Linked DNA regions of Saccharomyces cerevisiae S288C. The gene in region 1 interacts genetically with each later gene. Each region holds a gene or a part of one and is shown on either strand. Other genes may lie near its edges. The genes, in order: SWT21 and PRP40.

Region 1 (8,202 bases):
TCCTTCTCCAAACATTAAGAATCCCAATGTTACCAATGGTTCGACGCCTATCCCGAAGCCTATCCGCGCAAGACAAAGCAGCATATATTCTGCATCAAGACAGCCAACTGGTTCCTATACTGATAACTTTTACGGTTCCCCCTCATCTGTACATGACCACTTACCTCCAAGTCAAAGTGTTCCAAGGTCACAACATTCTTCCATCGGTGATTTAAAGAGGTTCTTCAAAAAAAGTTCTAACAGTAACCTTTCCTCGAATAGTAACAACGTGATCCCGAACGGATCACCTCTTTCTAGCGGAATTGCCGTTCCGTCACACTCTCATTCATCGTCTCATTTTGCCGCAGGGAATAACTCATATTCCACTAGTTATAACGGAAATGGAGATACTATTTATTCTCATAGTCACGGCGGTTCAGGAATTCCGTTCTCAAAAAGGTACATCAAAACCGGTGCCGATTTAGGCGCTGGAGCAGGAGGTTCTGTCAAATTAGCTCAAAGAATTTCAGATAACAAAATATTTGCAGTGAAGGAGTTTAGAACTAAATTTGAAAATGAATCCAAAAGAGATTATGTCAAGAAAATTACATCAGAATACTGTATTGGTACAACTTTGAATCATCCCAATATCATTGAAACAATTGAAATCGTGTATGAAAATGATAGAATTCTCCAAGTTATGGAATATTGTGAATACGATTTATTTGCTATTGTAATGAGTAATAAAATGTCCTATGAAGAGATTTGTTGTTGCTTCAAACAAATACTTACTGGTGTACAATATTTGCATAGTATCGGCTTAGCTCATAGAGATCTAAAGCTAGATAATTGTGTTATAAACGAAAAAGGTATTGTAAAATTAATCGATTTTGGTGCTGCTGTGGTATTTTCATATCCATTCTCAAAAAATCTTGTGGAAGCAAGTGGAATTGTTGGAAGTGATCCATATTTAGCACCTGAAGTCTGTATATTTGCGAAGTATGACCCACGTCCCGTAGATATTTGGTCTTCTGCAATCATTTTTGCATGTATGATACTGAAGAAATTTCCATGGAAAATTCCGAAATTAAGGGACAATTCATTCAAACTATTTTGTTCCGGACGTGATTGCGACTCCTTAAGTAGCTTGGTTACAAGAACTCCTGATCCACCTTCCTACGATGAATCGCACTCAACAGAAAAGAAAAAACCCGAAAGCTCTTCCAATAATGTATCAGATCCTAATAATGTTAATATCGGGCCACAAAGATTGTTGCACTCATTACCAGAAGAGACTCAGCATATTGTTGGACGTATGATTGATTTGGCGCCCGCATGCAGAGGAAATATCGAAGAAATCATGGAAGATCCTTGGATCCGTAGCATTGATATGTGCCACTTGGTTGAAGATGGATTATCGTTCAAAGTGGTTAGAGGAGAAGACCATCATCACACACAAGTGGATCAAAGTGAAGCACATATTGCAGGCCTAGAAAAGAAAAAGAAAAAGCAAAATAATCAATAAATAAGCGTCCCCACTTTTATTTCTTTTCCAAGCATTTGTATATAACCTTTTTTTATCCTATTTGAGTATATGTTAAAATACAATGTCATATTTACTTCTGTTAAACTAATTTCATATTTTACCGTTCTATAGAAGCCTAAATAGATTGACCTCCTGTTCATAATCTACTATTTTATCAGAAAAATGTAAAAGCTTAGTATGATAATAATTAATGGAAAAGTTCGTTAAAATATCGCGCCACTAATTAATAATAATGAAGCGGGTAACATTAATTGTCTTACCAAGGCGACAATTCCCTTTTCTAAAATTTCACAGCAAAGAAGCTTTAGAAAGTGCAGTAAATCTACAACTCATAAGAAGGAAAAAAAGCGTGAACATTCAAATCGACAGCGTAACCTTCTGTATTTATTTCTGTTTGTTGTACTTTCGAACTCTCGAATACCATAGAGGAACTATTAGTCTCCATAATGTCACAGGCAGCAAAAAACGTGATAGTAAAGCTAATAGTAGGAGCAGGCCAAGCGGCACCATCACCTCCCGTGGGGCCCGCATTGGGCTCCAAGGGTATAAAAGCCATTGACTTTTGTAAGGAATTTAATGCAAGATCAGCAAACTATCAGCCAGGTGTACCGGTTCCAGTATTAATCACAATAAAACCTGATAGAACATTTACGTTTGAAATGAAATCTCCACCAACCGGATATTTGCTGCTAAAAGCTCTTAAAATGGACAAGGGACATGGACAACCGAATGTGGGGACAATGTTAGGCAGTGCACCTGCCAAGGGACCAACCCGTGCTTTAGGAGAGTTATCGCTGAAGCACGTTTACGAAATAGCCAAGATAAAAAAGAGTGATGAAAGGCATAGTTTATTGGAGATGGAAGGTATTGTTAAATCAATAGTTGGCGTTGCAAAAAGTATGGGTATTAAGGTTGTACCTTGATCTGTAAGTAGTGAAAAGACAAAAAAGTACCGTCAATTTCGAGAAATTTTCAACAGACCTTCCTTCTTCTTTCTACTGATCTATTCTGTAAATATGTATATAAGTTTTAAATTCTCTTTCTCCCGTTATGTTAGCAAAGCTCGGTAGTACTGAAGCTATTCTGAGTAAACGCTTCTCCAACTCTGTATACTGAGAGTTGTTTTATAAGTCAATAAAGACCGGATATTTATATGTATATATTGATTTGGTATAATAAAAATGAAATGCTAATAAAAATGCCTATGAAAAGAGGAAAATCCAGGAATATCGAGTTTTTTCATTTGGTGAACTTCCTTTTTTTATTTTTTTTCCATTTTTTTCTGTTATTTTTCTTGCTATTAATCTTCAATGGGCGGTTATTTGGTTCGTTAACAGCCTGTTCCTGTTTGGATTTAGAGGTAACATTACCAGTGGCCATGGCAGATTTCGCCAATGGCAATGGAACCGATTTTGGAGTTAGCCTCGTGTATAGGAGATAATATGCGTTGGGTTCCTTTAAAACGTCCCTTTCAGATATTATATTAATATACTCGTCGTCGTAAGTGGCCCAGCTACCGTCTGGTTGCTTGCAGTGGGCAATGTAGTGACCTGAAGAAAGGGAGCGGCCCTCATGAACCACCACGCTTAATAGTTGGTATTTGACAGGTAGCTCTTTACTCTCACAATATTCCGTCAAATCTAAAAACATAGGATAAGAAACAGCTTGCTTCATTTTTGATGAGGACGTGCCATTGAATCTGAATTTTTTCAGATGCACAAGTAAAGTTTCAGGAGCCCTTAATATTGAACTATGCTTCACGGCGTTCGTGGTCTTGTGACACTTCTCACAAACGTAACCCTTTTGCTCCTTGTCAACCTTGATTAATTCGGGATTGAAGAAATCTTTAATTGATTTTTCAATAGAAAATCTGCGGTTGGCTGAACTTAAATCACTGGCAGCGGCAAATGGTGAGCCATTGTTTAAATTGACAGATGAAGAGGATGAAAGAGATGGTTTTGTGGCAGCATTGGAGGTAGTGGTAGAAGTGGTGGCTGAAGTGCCGTTAATGCTATCACTCGACAGGTCAGAATTTGGATCAAGTTTTTTCTTCCCTTTCAAGTGCAACGATAAATCGTAAAATGGTTGTTCTGTTTTAGATATACTGCCACAAGATTTGCAAGTAACGATCTGCTTTAAAAGACCACCGAATATGTCATATATTATCGATTCTATAAGTTTATGACCCTTGGGAACAGAATCTTCCTGTAATCTTGACATCAGAGACATGAAGTACTCATGTGAATCTTCCTGCTGCCATTCGCTCATCATACAATTAATGTCATCCAATCTGGAAATCAAATGTTTTGGATTAATGTAGGAAGCTGAAACGTTCTTTCTAGGGTTTTTTGAGACCGGTAACCACATTTTTTTACTTGTTTCAGCTAAAGTATAGGAAACGGAATTTTTTGAGATGGTGCTATCGTATTTCCCCATTAGTATATCAAAAAGATAATGTTGTATCGAAGGAATGTGTAACATAGCCTGTACAGCAGCATTTGTGTAACAAGTAACACCATGATTCAAAAGGCCACGAGGCTTCAAATTGGTGAATTTGTCGCCCCAATTTTTAACAATTCTAGTAGAGTTTAAAGAACCACGATCATTGATATTTTCATTGAATTGGTAAAAGTTTGATAGATTTGATATTGTAACCGGAGGGGTGATTGACCTAGATTTATGTTTCAGCTCTTCTTCCTCTTCTTCCTCCTCCTCTCCCTTTGGATTCCTGTTTCCATTTTCTTTGGTGTTGTTTACTGGTTCGTACCGATTTACTTCCACTGTACTATTTTCCATTAAATCTTGATATAAACTCTTTTTTTCGCCTTCAGAAATTTTGGAGCTGGAATCGTTCTCCTCTTCTTCAGGGAGCTCTTTTTCCATAGCACTAGAATCATAATCCATGTCATCCTCATCCTCGTCGTCTTCTATTTCGTCATCACTGCTAATGCTTGTAGACAGTTCCTTTCTTTTTTCCTTTTCATTCTCATTAGATGAATCATCAATGGTTGCTAATGGAGAACCCAAGTTTTCACCAATGTCTTCACCAATGTCTTCACCGATGTCTTCACCGATGTCTTCACCGATGTCTTCGCCGATGTCTTCACCATCGCCCTTATCTGCGTTGTCGCGTTCCTTCAAACTAGCTTTTCGGGGTTCTACATAGTCTCTTGCCTCATGAAATATTTCACCCTCTTCCTCTTCCTCTTTTCCTACTTTGTCATCTTCCGAAGAAGAGGAAGGAGGCTCCGTAGAAAGCTCCGTAGAAAGCTCCGCTGACTTCTTGGCACCAGTAGCATCTGCAGCATCTTTATCATTTTTAGAAGTATACAACAATAAAGCTTCAGCCATAGATTTAGGAACAGTGTTGGTTTTCTTTCCGTTTGGCCTGTCTATCAAGTTATTTTCTTTTATTTGCTTGGATTCGGCCGTTGCAGCAATAGCTGTGCTATTACTATTGTTATTATGCTGTTTTCCTATCACAATATACGAGCTATTTTCCGGCGCGGCGGAAGTATCATTATTATTCGATTTGTTAGAGATCATTGCAGCATTGAACTGCAGGGGATTTGATAGGATTCTATCTACCAAAGGTTTGATCGATTCTTGAGTGGTCATAGTCTGTGATTGTGATATGACAATAGGACGGATTTACAGATACTATGAGTTGTAGATTCTTTCCGTTAGTTTTTCTATGAAATATTATGTGCAGTACAGAACAAAAGAGGCTTCAGACACTATGCATGCTCCTGTGTGCAGTATATGATGCTTAATAGCTTCTATGAAACAAATAAAGGACAGAAGCGGGGATGGAAGACTCTGTTAATGCTTTACAGGGAAGTTTTTCCCGATGGTGGCACTATATAAAAATAAGAACTTTTTTCTTTTCTTTTGGGGATTTTTTTCGATGCGAAAAAAATTTTTTGACGGCATGAGGCAAGAAGTGAACAAAAGAGGTGGTGTCTGGGGGATGCAATTTAACTTCTTACTTGTGCGCGTTCATCGGAGAAAGCTGGCCGGGTGATACACGAATACGGGTTTGCCGTTTTTAGCCGCCGAACCTGCATAATGAAATTGTGCCCCCATGAGATAGGGCGAACAGTTCGGGATCCCCAGGACAATTCTTCACTACCGTGGCAGGAATAGTAGAATCAAGGTTAGTGCGCCACTCTGACTCTGGCGGGATAGACGTGATTAGTGGGTCTTCAACACTATTGTGTGAGGGAACACCTCCAAATTCCACAAGGTCTCGACCCCAGTTCAATATTGTTCCCTGCGGCGTCCCCATACTTAGTCCGTAAGCCGTATCTATATATGCCTTCAACTTTGCAGAGTTGTGGTGGATCCGAAACGGTAGGCGCAATACGTTAAGCTCGTGCTGCAGGTTTCGCCGATCGTAAATACTAATCGCGTCACTGTTGCGTCTGACAACGTACACGTAACGCCCGTTATCGCTTGTAAGGATTTGTACAATCCCACCTGCAACTGTGCGGGTGTAGTTCAGTCTCTCTAGTCGTTGATGACGGCAGTCTACCTGAAACATTTCATTCGCATAACTGCCACACAATAGAGATCCTCTTGAGAGAGCTTGCCCTCCCATTGGTTGCTCTTCAAAGCAAGATATAATGCTTTGTCTTCCCTTGCTTGCTTTTTTGGTACTCTGGTTCATCCACACGGCATCTCGTCTGCTCTTGTCGTATATCGCCACTTTGTTACGGCATGAGCCAGTGTATACACGAGACTCAACATCGATTTTCACACTGTATACAGTTTCGTATTCTCCATTTATTTTGTTCATCGTGTCATAGCTGAGGATACACTGCCCGTCCATCAAAGAGTATAGTTGTAGAGGGAAGTTTTTTCCTCCAACCACGATTCTGTCACCAGCTAACCTGTCGGAATTCTCGTTATAAAGCGTGTAAAACGGGTCTATTGCACATGAAACAATAGACTGGTTTCTAAAAAACCTTGTAAATGGTAGAAGGAGGTTTCTGTTTAGCTTGTCCGTATTACTTTCCTCCGGCACTAAATATTGTCTGATGCCAAAATCATTATGCACAGAAACAAACGATGTACCATCACATGACCAAAAGATATCTTGACATATTACCTTCTTTTCCATTCTGAAGTCGTCTGTCATATTGATATATGGTGATTCTCCTAGTCGTGGATACTCGTATCCACTTCGATCACTTTGAGTCCTTTTTAACCATTCCTTATCTTCTCTTTTCCATACATTCGCTATCGTGTCAGCCTCGAACACTTCGCCAGTGTCGCAATACGGAATTGCATTCATTCTTTCATCATTTTTTCTATTCAAGGACTCATAATGCCCTTGTACCATCTATGTTTATGGAATATGCGGTCTGTCCACCACCGATTTTTAAGTGCACGCTTTTCTTTTTTTGCTTAATTTTCAGACCGTGATAATACTCTCTTTAAAACGGAAGAGAACAGTTATTGCCATAACTGTACACACTTCTTCATGTACTAACCTTTATATGGTTTAAAACCTATAATACACATATATATTGCAATATAACAATATTAAAATACAAATTGTCCATAAGAAATATTCCCTATACTTTTTCATAATATTTCCTGATTTTTTGTAGATCATCATCACGTTTTTCCGCCATCCTTTGTTGACCATTTGTTCAGGCGCTGCGTTGTCATTAGTCACTACTTTCCTTTTTTCCTTTGAATCGGTATCGTCTTTTAGTAACTCTATTATCGTGTCAAGTTTCTTAGTATGCATTTCGATCTCAGACTGTAGTATTTGTAATGGATCTCGTTGCGCTTGGAACTTTAATATATTGTTGTTCGTTTCTTCTTTCTCCTTATTGTCGGTAACATCATTAAAGTTATTCATAGCAGAGAGATTTGGTAAGGGTTTTTGCTCCAAAGAAACATACGATTTTGTTGGCGTCGATATTTTGAAAGAATTGTCCTGCTCAGAGCTAGAAACATCAGTTCCTCGTGGAGGCATTCTTTTCCTTTCGTATTCTCTTAAACTTTCTAGCTTTTTTTCCACCATTTTTTTGTCATGAAAGAGAAGTCTATGCCATTTAGACTCAATCAATTCTCTCTTTTTTTGAAGCACTTCGTCTGTGAATACTTCTTCTTTTCTCTGTAATGTGGGTGTACTATCACTATTAGGGCTATTCAAATACGGCAGCGGTAGGGGTTTTCCTAATTGTTTCCGAAGTGCTGCACTAGATTTTCTTTGTGAGGAGCTCTTGTTATTGATGATGGGTTTTACTTTAATGTGTGATTCTTTTGATTTTGGATTCCGAGTATTTAAAACATTTCTTTGTCCTAGTAAACTAGATCGGAGTATACTAGCCTCTTTAATTTTCGGCGTAAACTGGAGTTCGTTCTCTATATTATCTTCATCAATTTTTACATTATCTTCGTCCGATATGTACTCTTCGGCTTTGTTTTCTGCAAGTGTTGGTTCAAACTCTCTTTTTCGAAACTGTGTATATCGCTGATTGATCCCTGATCCATTGTAGAAAGGGTTATATCCGGTCTCCCTTTTATTGTAGTTGTTTTGTTTTATGGTATCATTGCTTCTATCACTATCAGAATTAATATTTTTGGTACGCGATGCAATGCCCTCATTGTAATCAAATGCATCATCTGTCATAATTGACGTTGTATTACTTGAAACAATT
Region 2 (10,693 bases), on another chromosome or scaffold:
GTAAATGCCATGTACGGTATTTGCGGGGCGTTGCATGGGGTTGACAAATTTGAGACTTTGTTTTCGTTGGATTTAATCGAAAGAATAGTTCAGCTAGTTTCTATTCAGGATACCCCCTTGGAGAATAAACTGAAATGTTTGGATATTTTAACCGTATTAGCGATGAGTAGTGATGTACTTTCAAGAGAACTGAGAGAGAAAACTGACATTGTCGACATGGCAACACGATCATTCCAGCATTATAGTAAAAGTCCTAACGCAGGGTTACATGAAACACTGATTTATGTCCCAAACAGTTTATTGATTAGCATTTCTAGATTTATAGTTGTATTGTTTCCTCCCGAGGATGAAAGAATACTGTCAGCGGATAAATATACCGGAAATAGCGACCGTGGCGTAATTTCTAACCAGGAAAAGTTTGATTCCCTAGTTCAATGTCTAATTCCAATTCTCGTTGAAATTTATACAAATGCTGCTGACTTTGACGTAAGAAGATACGTACTTATTGCTTTACTGAGGGTTGTATCATGCATAAATAATTCCACAGCAAAGGCAATCAATGATCAACTTATTAAGTTAATCGGATCTATCCTGGCCCAAAAAGAAACAGCGTCTAACGCTAATGGTACTTACTCATCAGAAGCTGGTACACTGTTGGTTGGTGGTCTCTCGTTGCTTGACTTAATTTGTAAAAAGTTTTCCGAACTGTTCTTTCCTTCCATCAAAAGAGAGGGCATTTTTGATTTGGTTAAGGATTTGTCTGTGGATTTCAATAACATTGATTTAAAGGAAGACGGGAATGAAAATATTTCACTTTCTGACGAAGAAGGGGATTTGCATAGCAGTATTGAGGAATGTGATGAGGGTGATGAAGAATATGATTACGAATTTACTGATATGGAAATTCCTGATTCAGTAAAACCAAAGAAAATTTCAATACACATTTTCAGAACTCTATCTCTAGCTTATATTAAAAACAAGGGTGTGAACCTAGTTAATAGAGTACTTTCTCAGATGAACGTTGAGCAAGAAGCAATAACAGAGGAGCTCCATCAAATCGAAGGCGTTGTTTCTATTTTAGAAAATCCTTCCACTCCGGACAAAACTGAAGAGGATTGGAAGGGAATTTGGTCTGTTTTAAAAAAATGTATTTTCCATGAAGATTTCGACGTGTCAGGTTTCGAATTTACTTCTACAGGGCTAGCTTCCTCCATAACTAAAAGAATTACATCCTCAACGGTATCCCATTTCATTCTTGCTAAATCATTTTTAGAGGTATTTGAGGATTGTATTGACAGATTTTTAGAAATCCTACAATCTGCTCTCACAAGGCTGGAGAATTTCTCTATAGTTGATTGCGGTTTACACGATGGTGGTGGTGTATCTTCACTGGCTAAAGAGATAAAAATTAAGTTGGTTTATGATGGCGATGCAAGCAAAGATAATATTGGTACTGATTTATCATCTACTATCGTTTCGGTCCATTGCATAGCTTCTTTTACCTCACTTAATGAGTTTTTGAGACACAGAATGGTAAGAATGCGTTTTTTGAATTCATTAATCCCAAACCTTACATCTTCCAGTACCGAAGCTGATAGGGAAGAAGAAGAAAATTGCTTGGATCATATGAGAAAAAAGAACTTTGACTTTTTTTATGATAATGAAAAAGTTGACATGGAGTCTACAGTATTTGGTGTGATATTTAATACATTCGTCAGGCGAAATCGTGACTTAAAAACTTTATGGGATGATACACATACAATCAAATTTTGCAAAAGTTTAGAAGGTAACAATAGAGAGAGTGAGGCAGCCGAGGAAGCTAATGAGGGGAAAAAGTTAAGAGATTTTTATAAAAAAAGAGAATTCGCACAGGTTGATACTGGATCTTCAGCGGATATTCTGACATTGCTGGATTTTCTACATAGCTGCGGTGTTAAAAGCGACAGTTTTATCAACTCAAAACTAAGCGCTAAGCTCGCTAGACAACTAGATGAACCATTGGTAGTAGCAAGTGGAGCTTTGCCGGATTGGTCACTATTTTTGACCAGGAGATTCCCATTTTTGTTTCCGTTTGATACCAGGATGCTTTTCCTACAATGTACTTCATTTGGTTACGGAAGATTGATTCAACTTTGGAAGAATAAGAGTAAAGGCTCGAAAGATTTAAGGAATGACGAAGCTTTACAACAACTTGGGAGAATTACTAGGCGTAAGCTGCGGATTTCAAGAAAAACAATATTCGCTACCGGTCTCAAGATTTTATCCAAGTACGGAAGTAGCCCTGACGTACTGGAAATTGAATATCAAGAAGAAGCAGGAACAGGTTTAGGACCGACTTTGGAATTTTACTCCGTAGTTTCCAAGTATTTTGCAAGAAAGTCGTTAAATATGTGGCGTTGTAACTCTTATAGTTACAGAAGCGAAATGGATGTTGATACTACTGACGATTATATTACCACTTTATTGTTCCCAGAGCCCCTCAACCCGTTTTCCAATAATGAAAAAGTTATTGAACTTTTTGGATATTTGGGGACATTTGTTGCCAGATCGTTGCTTGATAATAGAATTCTTGACTTTAGATTTAGCAAAGTCTTTTTTGAGTTATTGCACAGAATGTCTACGCCCAATGTGACGACAGTGCCGAGCGACGTTGAAACCTGTCTGTTAATGATCGAATTGGTAGATCCGTTACTCGCAAAATCCCTTAAATACATAGTAGCGAATAAGGATGACAATATGACCCTAGAATCGTTGTCCTTGACATTTACCGTTCCTGGAAATGATGACATTGAGTTGATTCCGGGGGGTTGTAATAAATCCTTGAACTCTTCTAATGTTGAAGAATATATCCATGGCGTTATCGACCAAATATTAGGTAAGGGCATTGAAAAACAGTTAAAAGCATTTATTGAAGGTTTTTCAAAGGTGTTTTCCTATGAGAGGATGCTAATACTTTTTCCGGATGAATTAGTGGATATTTTCGGACGAGTTGAGGAAGACTGGTCTATGGCAACTTTATACACAAACTTGAACGCTGAACATGGCTATACAATGGATTCTTCAATCATTCATGATTTTATATCAATAATATCCGCGTTTGGTAAGCATGAAAGAAGATTATTTTTGCAATTTTTAACGGGATCTCCCAAGCTTCCAATTGGGGGATTTAAAAGTTTGAACCCAAAGTTTACAGTTGTGTTAAAGCATGCTGAAGATGGCCTAACAGCAGACGAATATCTACCAAGTGTAATGACATGTGCTAATTATTTGAAATTGCCGAAGTATACTAGCAAAGATATTATGCGGTCTCGTCTTTGTCAAGCCATTGAAGAGGGTGCAGGAGCTTTTCTACTTTCCTAAATTTTAGTTACTTTTTCTATTTAAGTTTTATATGACTTCAAAATTATTTCTTAAGATACAAAAAATGGATGGAATCAGACTAAATTTCTTCGGATTATCCGTACTTTTCTCATTTTTTTGTTTCAACTGGCGATTCCATATTTGTTTATCCATTGCATACAACGAAGGCTTACGGTTATACAGTCTAAAGCTAAAAAAGATAGTAATATGTCGACAGCACAGAAAGCTAAGATATTGCAACTCATCGATTCCTGCTGCCAAAATGCAAAAAGCACACAACTGAAATCTTTATCATTTGTTATTGGAGCAGTAAATGGCACGACGAAAGAAGCTAAAAGAACCTACATTCAAGAACAGTGTGAATTTTTGGAGAAGTTACGACAACAAAAGATAAGAGAGGGAAGAATTAACATATTGTCTATGGATGCTGGTGTTTCTAACTTTGCTTTCTCTAAGATGCAATTGCTCAATAATGATCCGCTCCCTAAAGTACTAGACTGGCAAAAGATAAATCTAGAGGAGAAATTTTTTCAAAACCTCAAAAAGTTAAGCTTGAATCCTGCTGAAACTTCTGAGCTTGTATTTAACCTTACGGAGTATTTATTTGAATCTATGCCGATACCAGATATGTTTACAATTGAAAGGCAACGTACCAGAACTATGTCTTCGAGGCATATTTTAGACCCAATTTTAAAAGTGAATATTCTCGAACAGATTCTTTTCTCTAACTTGGAAAATAAAATGAAGTATACGAATAAAATACCGAATACGTCCAAGTTGAGGTATATGGTATGTTCGTCCGATCCACATCGGATGACTTCATATTGGTGCATTCCAAGAGAAGAGACACCGACCAGTTCAAAAAAGTTAAAATCTAACAAACATAGCAAAGATTCTCGAATAAAGCTAGTGAAAAAAATACTTTCAACCTCAATACTAGAAGGTAATTCAACTAGTTCTACAAAACTGGTCGAGTTCATAGGAGTTTGGAATAATAGGATAAGAAATGCCCTTACCAAAAAAAAAAGTTTCAAGCTATGTGATATACTAGAGATCCAAGATAATTCGGGGGTGAGAAAAGATGACGATTTGGCAGATTCATTCCTCCATTGTTTGTCTTGGATGGAGTGGTTAAAAAATTATGAAAGTATTACTGAACTCTTGAATTCAAAAACACTGGTTAAAACACAGTTCGGACAGGTGTTTGAATTTTGTGAAAATAAGGTACAAAAGCTGAAATTTTTGCAGAACACTTACAACAATGACTAAGAAATTGTGCGGTGATCGCAAACTTGAAATAACATGTAATCTCTATGTATAATTTATATAATGATTAACAAGATAGAGGTCGACACGTCAGAATCAATAGTCCAATTCCACAGCCGGAGTTAAATGCCTCTTTTTTGACGCGGTCAACGTTAAGTTTGCAGTAGCGCTTTCGGCAGTCGGTGCAGAGCTTTCAGGCTTAAAATCCTCGAAAATTTGTCTTCTTATGTTATCTTCATCGCCTAGTGCCTTGTATTCAAGAGATTCGCCAAGCTCTTTGGAAGCTAAATCCCACGTACTAGGCTTGGGCTTACCGGTTTTTGTATATGTCCTTTGCAAAAGTAACCAAAAATAGTGCTTCTTTTGCTCCAATATCCTACGCTCATTTTGGAGTTTCTGTTGTATCTTTTCGTTTCTTTGCTTTATCAAACCATCAACAATCAAACTGATGTCTTCTTTATCCACCTTGTCAAATTTCCGGTCATTTTCCAGAACTTTTTCTATGTTTTGCTTGGTGATCTCGTCGCTATCGGCATCATTCCATTCAAAATTTTGATCTATCAACGTCTGTTGGGCTATTGATCTTTGTGCAAAGATGTACATCCTTTGTTCATCAACAAAATCTAAAAATAAATCAAGGCAGGACGAGCCATTCCTTCCAAGCATATGTAAAAAGCGCGGATCAGACTTTATATGAGGATAAATATCTGACCATCTAGTATTTGCTTTGATTTTGATTGGCACTTCTCTTAATAAGCTTTTAAAGTTATCTCTAGCAATACGGTCTCTGGTATAATTGCGCAGTCGGAGCTCATTTAGTTTGTTTTGAAGATCGTTTTCAATCGTATTTACTATTTTCAGATACTCGTTTAAAACATCTTCGTGGGTTAAGACTTTGAAGTGCCGGTTCGCCATATATCTCTTACTCTTATCAAAAACATAGTGATTTAAAAGCTGCTGCCAGGTTATGAAAGTTTCAGAGGATGATGTTGTTATAATACCGTTTAAATACTCTCTTAGTTCTTTTAGGGCCTGTGTTTTCAATTTTTTTTTTGATTCTTTCTGAGTGTCGATGAGGGTATCTATATAATCTTGAAAGGTCTGTCTCTTTGTCTTTTCATTGACCACGGAGTGTTTGTATATTGGTTCGTCGGCAATTAGTCTCTTTGCGGTAGGCCAACGGGTGTAATATTTTATATGAGAATTGTTTTGCAACATTTTCTGAAAGGCTTCTTTGAATTTGCTTGTTTCATTGTGTTCCTTAAGAAGTTGATCGGCTGATCTATTGGAAAGATATTTCTCAAACATTTCTTTCTTCCATAAGGGGTCATCATCGACCATCCAATACCTTGGATCTCTGGTCCCCAGTTCTGAAATAATTCTACTGAATGACCAAGTAGAGTCTACTTGATTTTCCTTCAGCATGGTAATAAATTCCTTCTCTGCTTCTTCTTTAGTCCTTCTCCTGACATTAAGCAGTTTAGAGTTATTAGCATATTGGCTTTCCTCCTCGTTTATAGTTCGTCCCGGCTCTTGTTTTTCTCCAGCCGTAAGGGCTATTCTATTTCCATTAACCTGTGCATGGGATACTGTATCATGTTTTTGTTCTGCGATGGGTTCTACTTTCTTCTCGAAGGCCGGAATAGTCCAGCTGGTTTCTCTTGTTGTTGGATTATAATAGTATACTTTGCCGTCTGCCGTCTTGGCCGCCTTCCAGCCATTTTCTCGAAGAAGTAGCTCCTCCTGAGAAATTAGTTCCTTGGGCTTCTCCCACGTAGATTTCTTTGTCAAAGTATTGTAATAATATATCCTTCCACTTGCATCTTTAGCTTCCTTCCAAATAGACATAGTTTCACGTCTCCCACCTCCGGCAATGCTTGTCTAGTGGTCGATCTGGCTTCAGACCTTGTTATCCTGATAGGTAGGCACGCTATTGCGATGTCATCAACTGCCAGATTTCCAAGTACATTATTATTGTCGATAATTTCATATCGTTTACCACGTCGCCCCTTTTGTATAGCAAAATACAATTATAGAACAAAAAAAGCCTGTAAAGCCAAGCAAATAGAGGCTTTCGGAACAACTCGGTGTCACTTTGACAAAAGATAAAAGAGGAAGCAACTGATAGTAGGAAATGTCACAATCATTACGTCCGTATCTAACGGCTGTTCGTTATTCCCTGGAAGCTGCGTTGACTTTGAGCAATTTCTCTTCGCAGGAAGTGGAGAGGCACAACAGACCGGAAGTTGAAGTCCCTAACACTAGCGCCGAATTGTTGCTCCAACCGATGCATATATCTCGTAATGAAAATGAACAAGTATTGATTGAGCCCAGTGTAAACTCGGTGCGTATGAGTTTAATGGTGAAACAGGCAGATGAAATTGAGCAGATTTTAGTTCACAAGTTTACTAGATTTTTGGAACAGCGTGCTGAAGCATTCTACATTCTGAGACGTGTACCAATACCTGGCTACAGTATTTCTTTTCTAATAACTAATAAGCATACTGAATCAATGAAAACTGGGAAATTGGTTGATTTTATTATTGAATTCATGGAGGACGTGGATAAGGAAATCAGTGAAATTAAACTGTTTTTGAATGCCAGAGCAAGATTTGTTGCGGAAGCATATCTTGATGAATTTGTCTATTAGATTCCTAATATAGGAAAGGGAATCTTTCTCCGTCAGGGCCCTATTGACGGAAAACTTTACGATCTGTACTGACTGTGTTAGTTTGCGTACTCAATTGAACTATTTCGAGACTATTTAGTTAGATACAATAACATGTGTATGTGAATTAATTATAAACGTACTTTTAAATTGCAGTTACTTTGTATAATTATGGTGATTTTTTTAGTACTTAAATTATATTCATAAAAAGGGATTAAAATGTTTCTCCCGACACCTAAAATTAAACTTCAATCTGTCAATTCTAACACAAAACGTTTTCATTTTACGTAAACAAATGAAGATTGAAGATTCTAAAGCATTTATTATTACTGCCGCACTAGTATACGACCAAACTAAAATTATATGATAATAGTGCACCAACATATAGTAAACAGCTTTTACCTATGCACGACTTGCATGAGGATTTCAATATTATATCACTGTAGACGAAATATGAAAAATTTCAGCAATAAAGCTCATCGCAAAGAATAGTTCGGTTATATTCTTGATTGGATATTATTTCTCTAATCTATGCGGTACTACTTCATCTAACAGAACTAGAGGAGCACTTACATAATGAGTAATCATAGCGAAGCCTATGGATCTCGCGACCAGAGAAGGGAGAAGTACACCCAAGGGAAAGAGTTCGAAGACGGTACATTAGAAACACTAGAAAGTATAATCAGTGCAGTCGAAGATGAAACTCTCTCCAAAGATTACCAACCTCTAATAGTGTTCTTCCAAAGAGGATTTGGTGCTCAATTGGTACAGACTTGGTCATATTATGCTCAAGTAAATAACCATGGGAAATTCTCGAAAACTACCTCATTACTGACTAAAACCTTACGAGTTTTGTCATCTGATACTAGTACAGTGACTATTGGGAGCGGTCTAATTAGATTGATATTGACCGATTACACAAAAGTTCTCTATAGAGGGTTGAACAATATGCGTGCGCAATTAACTAATCCAATTCTTCGTCTACTCAAACAAATAGTCAATTTCAACAATGGGCAACATATAGAGGAATTAGTTTCATATTTCGATTTTTCATTACCTATTTTACCAAGACTGTTGGTACCAAGCAAGTCTGAGTTAGCCAATGGGAATTCATCTGCTGATTCATCCAAACATGACTCATTAAGATTTACATTTATCAAGTTTTGGTTGACATTGATCTCAAATGCTTCCCCATTCGTGAGAAAAGAACTTTTGACAGAAAACTTTAAGATTATGAGCAACCTATTTAAATTCATGAATAAGGCTGATTCTGACAAGTTATCTGAGCACATACTATCGGTATTCATAAACGACATTTTAAAGGAGAAATCCTTCAAGAGAACTACTAAAACCAAAATTTTAAATGAACTAGCGGCTTCAAAGATTCATCACTTTTATTATTCATCAAACAAGAATTTGGTTAAGAAGGCAAATGAGTTTTTCTTAACTTTTGGAGCTTCCCGTGACTTTAGCGTAGCATTTCCTGATAATTGCGTTTGGTTCAAAAATTCAGTTGCTGATGGAGCTTCTCATGGAGCTCCGATAACCGTCAACCAAGTGGAATTTCAAATTCATAATAAACTTTTGTTCAACACTTTACGCCTTTTCAAACCTTGGGAAGATACGCTGCAATTAGGTACGTTGATCAAAATATTGGAGAACGTTCCCGAACTTGTTGCTCCTTACAGCATCTTTTTAACGACGAATGGTAACTATGACCCTAAGATGACTTCGTATTGGTTTGGTATAACGTTACTGATTAACAAGATTATTAATCTTAAGATACCGCAATTTATGGAGAAAGTTGATAGCAATATTCCACCTGCCACTTCATTAGTTATAGAAAACATTCTGCCATCTTTGCTCACCAAATCCTCGTTGGTTAAATCCCTACAATTTGAAACACCCATCATAAGACAATTAGCCTGTCAATCAATAGTTCTAGCGTTAAAAAAATTAGAAAAAGTTTCCACATTTTATGATCAAAAAGGCTGGAGAAATGAAAAAACTATTTTACTCAACGAGTTTCATACTAGAATTCCTGATTTACCAATCTTCGTATCTACTTTGAGCAATTCTTTGGCTTCCAATAAGGATAATAGAATTTTACCTCTGTCCATATCCATCATATTCAACTACTATAGTAAAATGTTCCCCAACCTCTTCTCAATTAACCTACCATCATCAAATATTTACACAGATATCATGCAAAAATCCAAGATTTCTGGCATAGAATTTGCTATTCTGGACAACTACTTACAATTTCAAGAATTTAACTCTACTCAAACCAGGTGGTGGAATCCAAGTTCTGGTGGAAATTCTTTATTCACCCTACTATTAAAGCTAGCATCCTCCAAAAATGCTTCTAACGTGATAACTACAAGAATATCCAACTTGCTCGATGAGCTGACGAGAACAAACGTTATCTTCAACATATCTTTAATTTCACCAGTGATGGCTTTAGTGAATAGTCTTCAAGGGCTTTCCCTTCAAGTTTCTGAAATTGACAACATGGAACAAGTCTGGAAGTGGTTTGACGAAACTATATCTCGTGTCGTAAAAACACCATACAAGTACGTCGATATGGCAAAAGAGTATAACTACATTTCTCCCTTCATAATGTGCCTTTCAGAGCAATGGAAATACGTTGACAAGAGTGGAAACCCAGAGTTTTTAATTAAATGGCTTATACTTTTTCTTAGAAACATGATTTTCATTGGTGAAGACCATATAGGCATAGATAAACTTGTTAAAAATGTCTTTCCTGAGGTCTCTGATCATGATGTTAATATATACTTGAAACTTGACTCATTTGAAGAAAACATAAAGAAAACTAATAGCTCTAATTCTTTAATTTCTTCAATGAAGAGCTCATCTTTTTTCCAGTATATTTCGGCGCTTCCATCTAAAAATCTAATGAATATTTCTAGATTACCAGTGAACAAATTAGATGCGGCAGGAATCCTTTTTAGAGTTCAGTTATTGGTAGAAGACGATTCTGTTGTATATGACAATTGGTTCGAAGCAACTGCCTGTGAGTTAACTGGCAAGATTGCTAGCTACATGGTAACAGACACAGAATTCCCAATTATCAAAGTTTTGGAAAGGTATATAAATTTCGCTTTACCAAAACTGGCCATTGAAAAAAGAAATGCTCTACTCATGAAAAAATCAAGGTTCATGTGCAATTTAATCGGTGCAGTATGCTTTGAAACAGGCCATCAATTAGTGGAATTCCGAGAAATAATTCAAAAAGTCGTGTTTAGTGGTGAAAATGTCGAAGAGTATGCCAACTATAATGAGTTGTATCAGAAAGAAGATGTAAATGCTTTCTTAACAAGTGTTAGTGAGTATTTAAGTACTTCAGCTTTAACTTCGCTACTCATGTGTAGCACCAAA

The links.
Region 2: mutations in SWT21 (region 1) and PRP40 impair growth when combined (synthetic growth defect), as found in Saccharomyces cerevisiae (one study listed by BioGRID).

What each region holds. Positions count from the first base shown.
Region 1 is NC_001146.8:286,439-294,640, reverse strand, and holds SWT21 (Swt21p), read right to left. Parts: upstream 6,648-8,202; coding exon 5,574-6,647; downstream 1-5,573. Other genes in the region: serine/threonine protein kinase NPR1, read left to right, coding at 1-1,504; YNL184C (uncharacterized protein), read left to right, coding at 1,758-2,084; mitochondrial 54S ribosomal protein uL11m MRPL19, read left to right, coding at 1,972-2,448; ubiquitin-specific protease UBP10, read right to left, coding at 2,765-5,143; KAR1 (Kar1p), read right to left, coding at 7,032-8,202. UniProt on the Saccharomyces cerevisiae protein: Involved in mRNA splicing. Helps to stabilize the U1 snRNP-5' splice site interaction.
Region 2 is NC_001143.9:414,091-424,783, reverse strand, and holds PRP40 (snoRNA-splicing protein PRP40), read right to left. Parts: upstream 6,475-10,693; coding exon 4,723-6,474; downstream 1-4,722. Other genes in the region: putative ubiquitin-protein ligase UFD4, read left to right, coding at 1-3,360; CCE1 (cruciform cutting endonuclease), read left to right, coding at 3,568-4,629; ARC19 (Arc19p), read left to right, coding at 6,761-7,276; URB1 (Urb1p), read left to right, coding at 7,871-10,693. UniProt on the Saccharomyces cerevisiae protein: Required for pre-spliceosome formation, which is the first step of pre-mRNA splicing. This protein is associated with snRNP U1. Two commitment complexes, CC1 and CC2, have been defined in yeast. CC1 is a basal complex dependent only on the 5' splice site.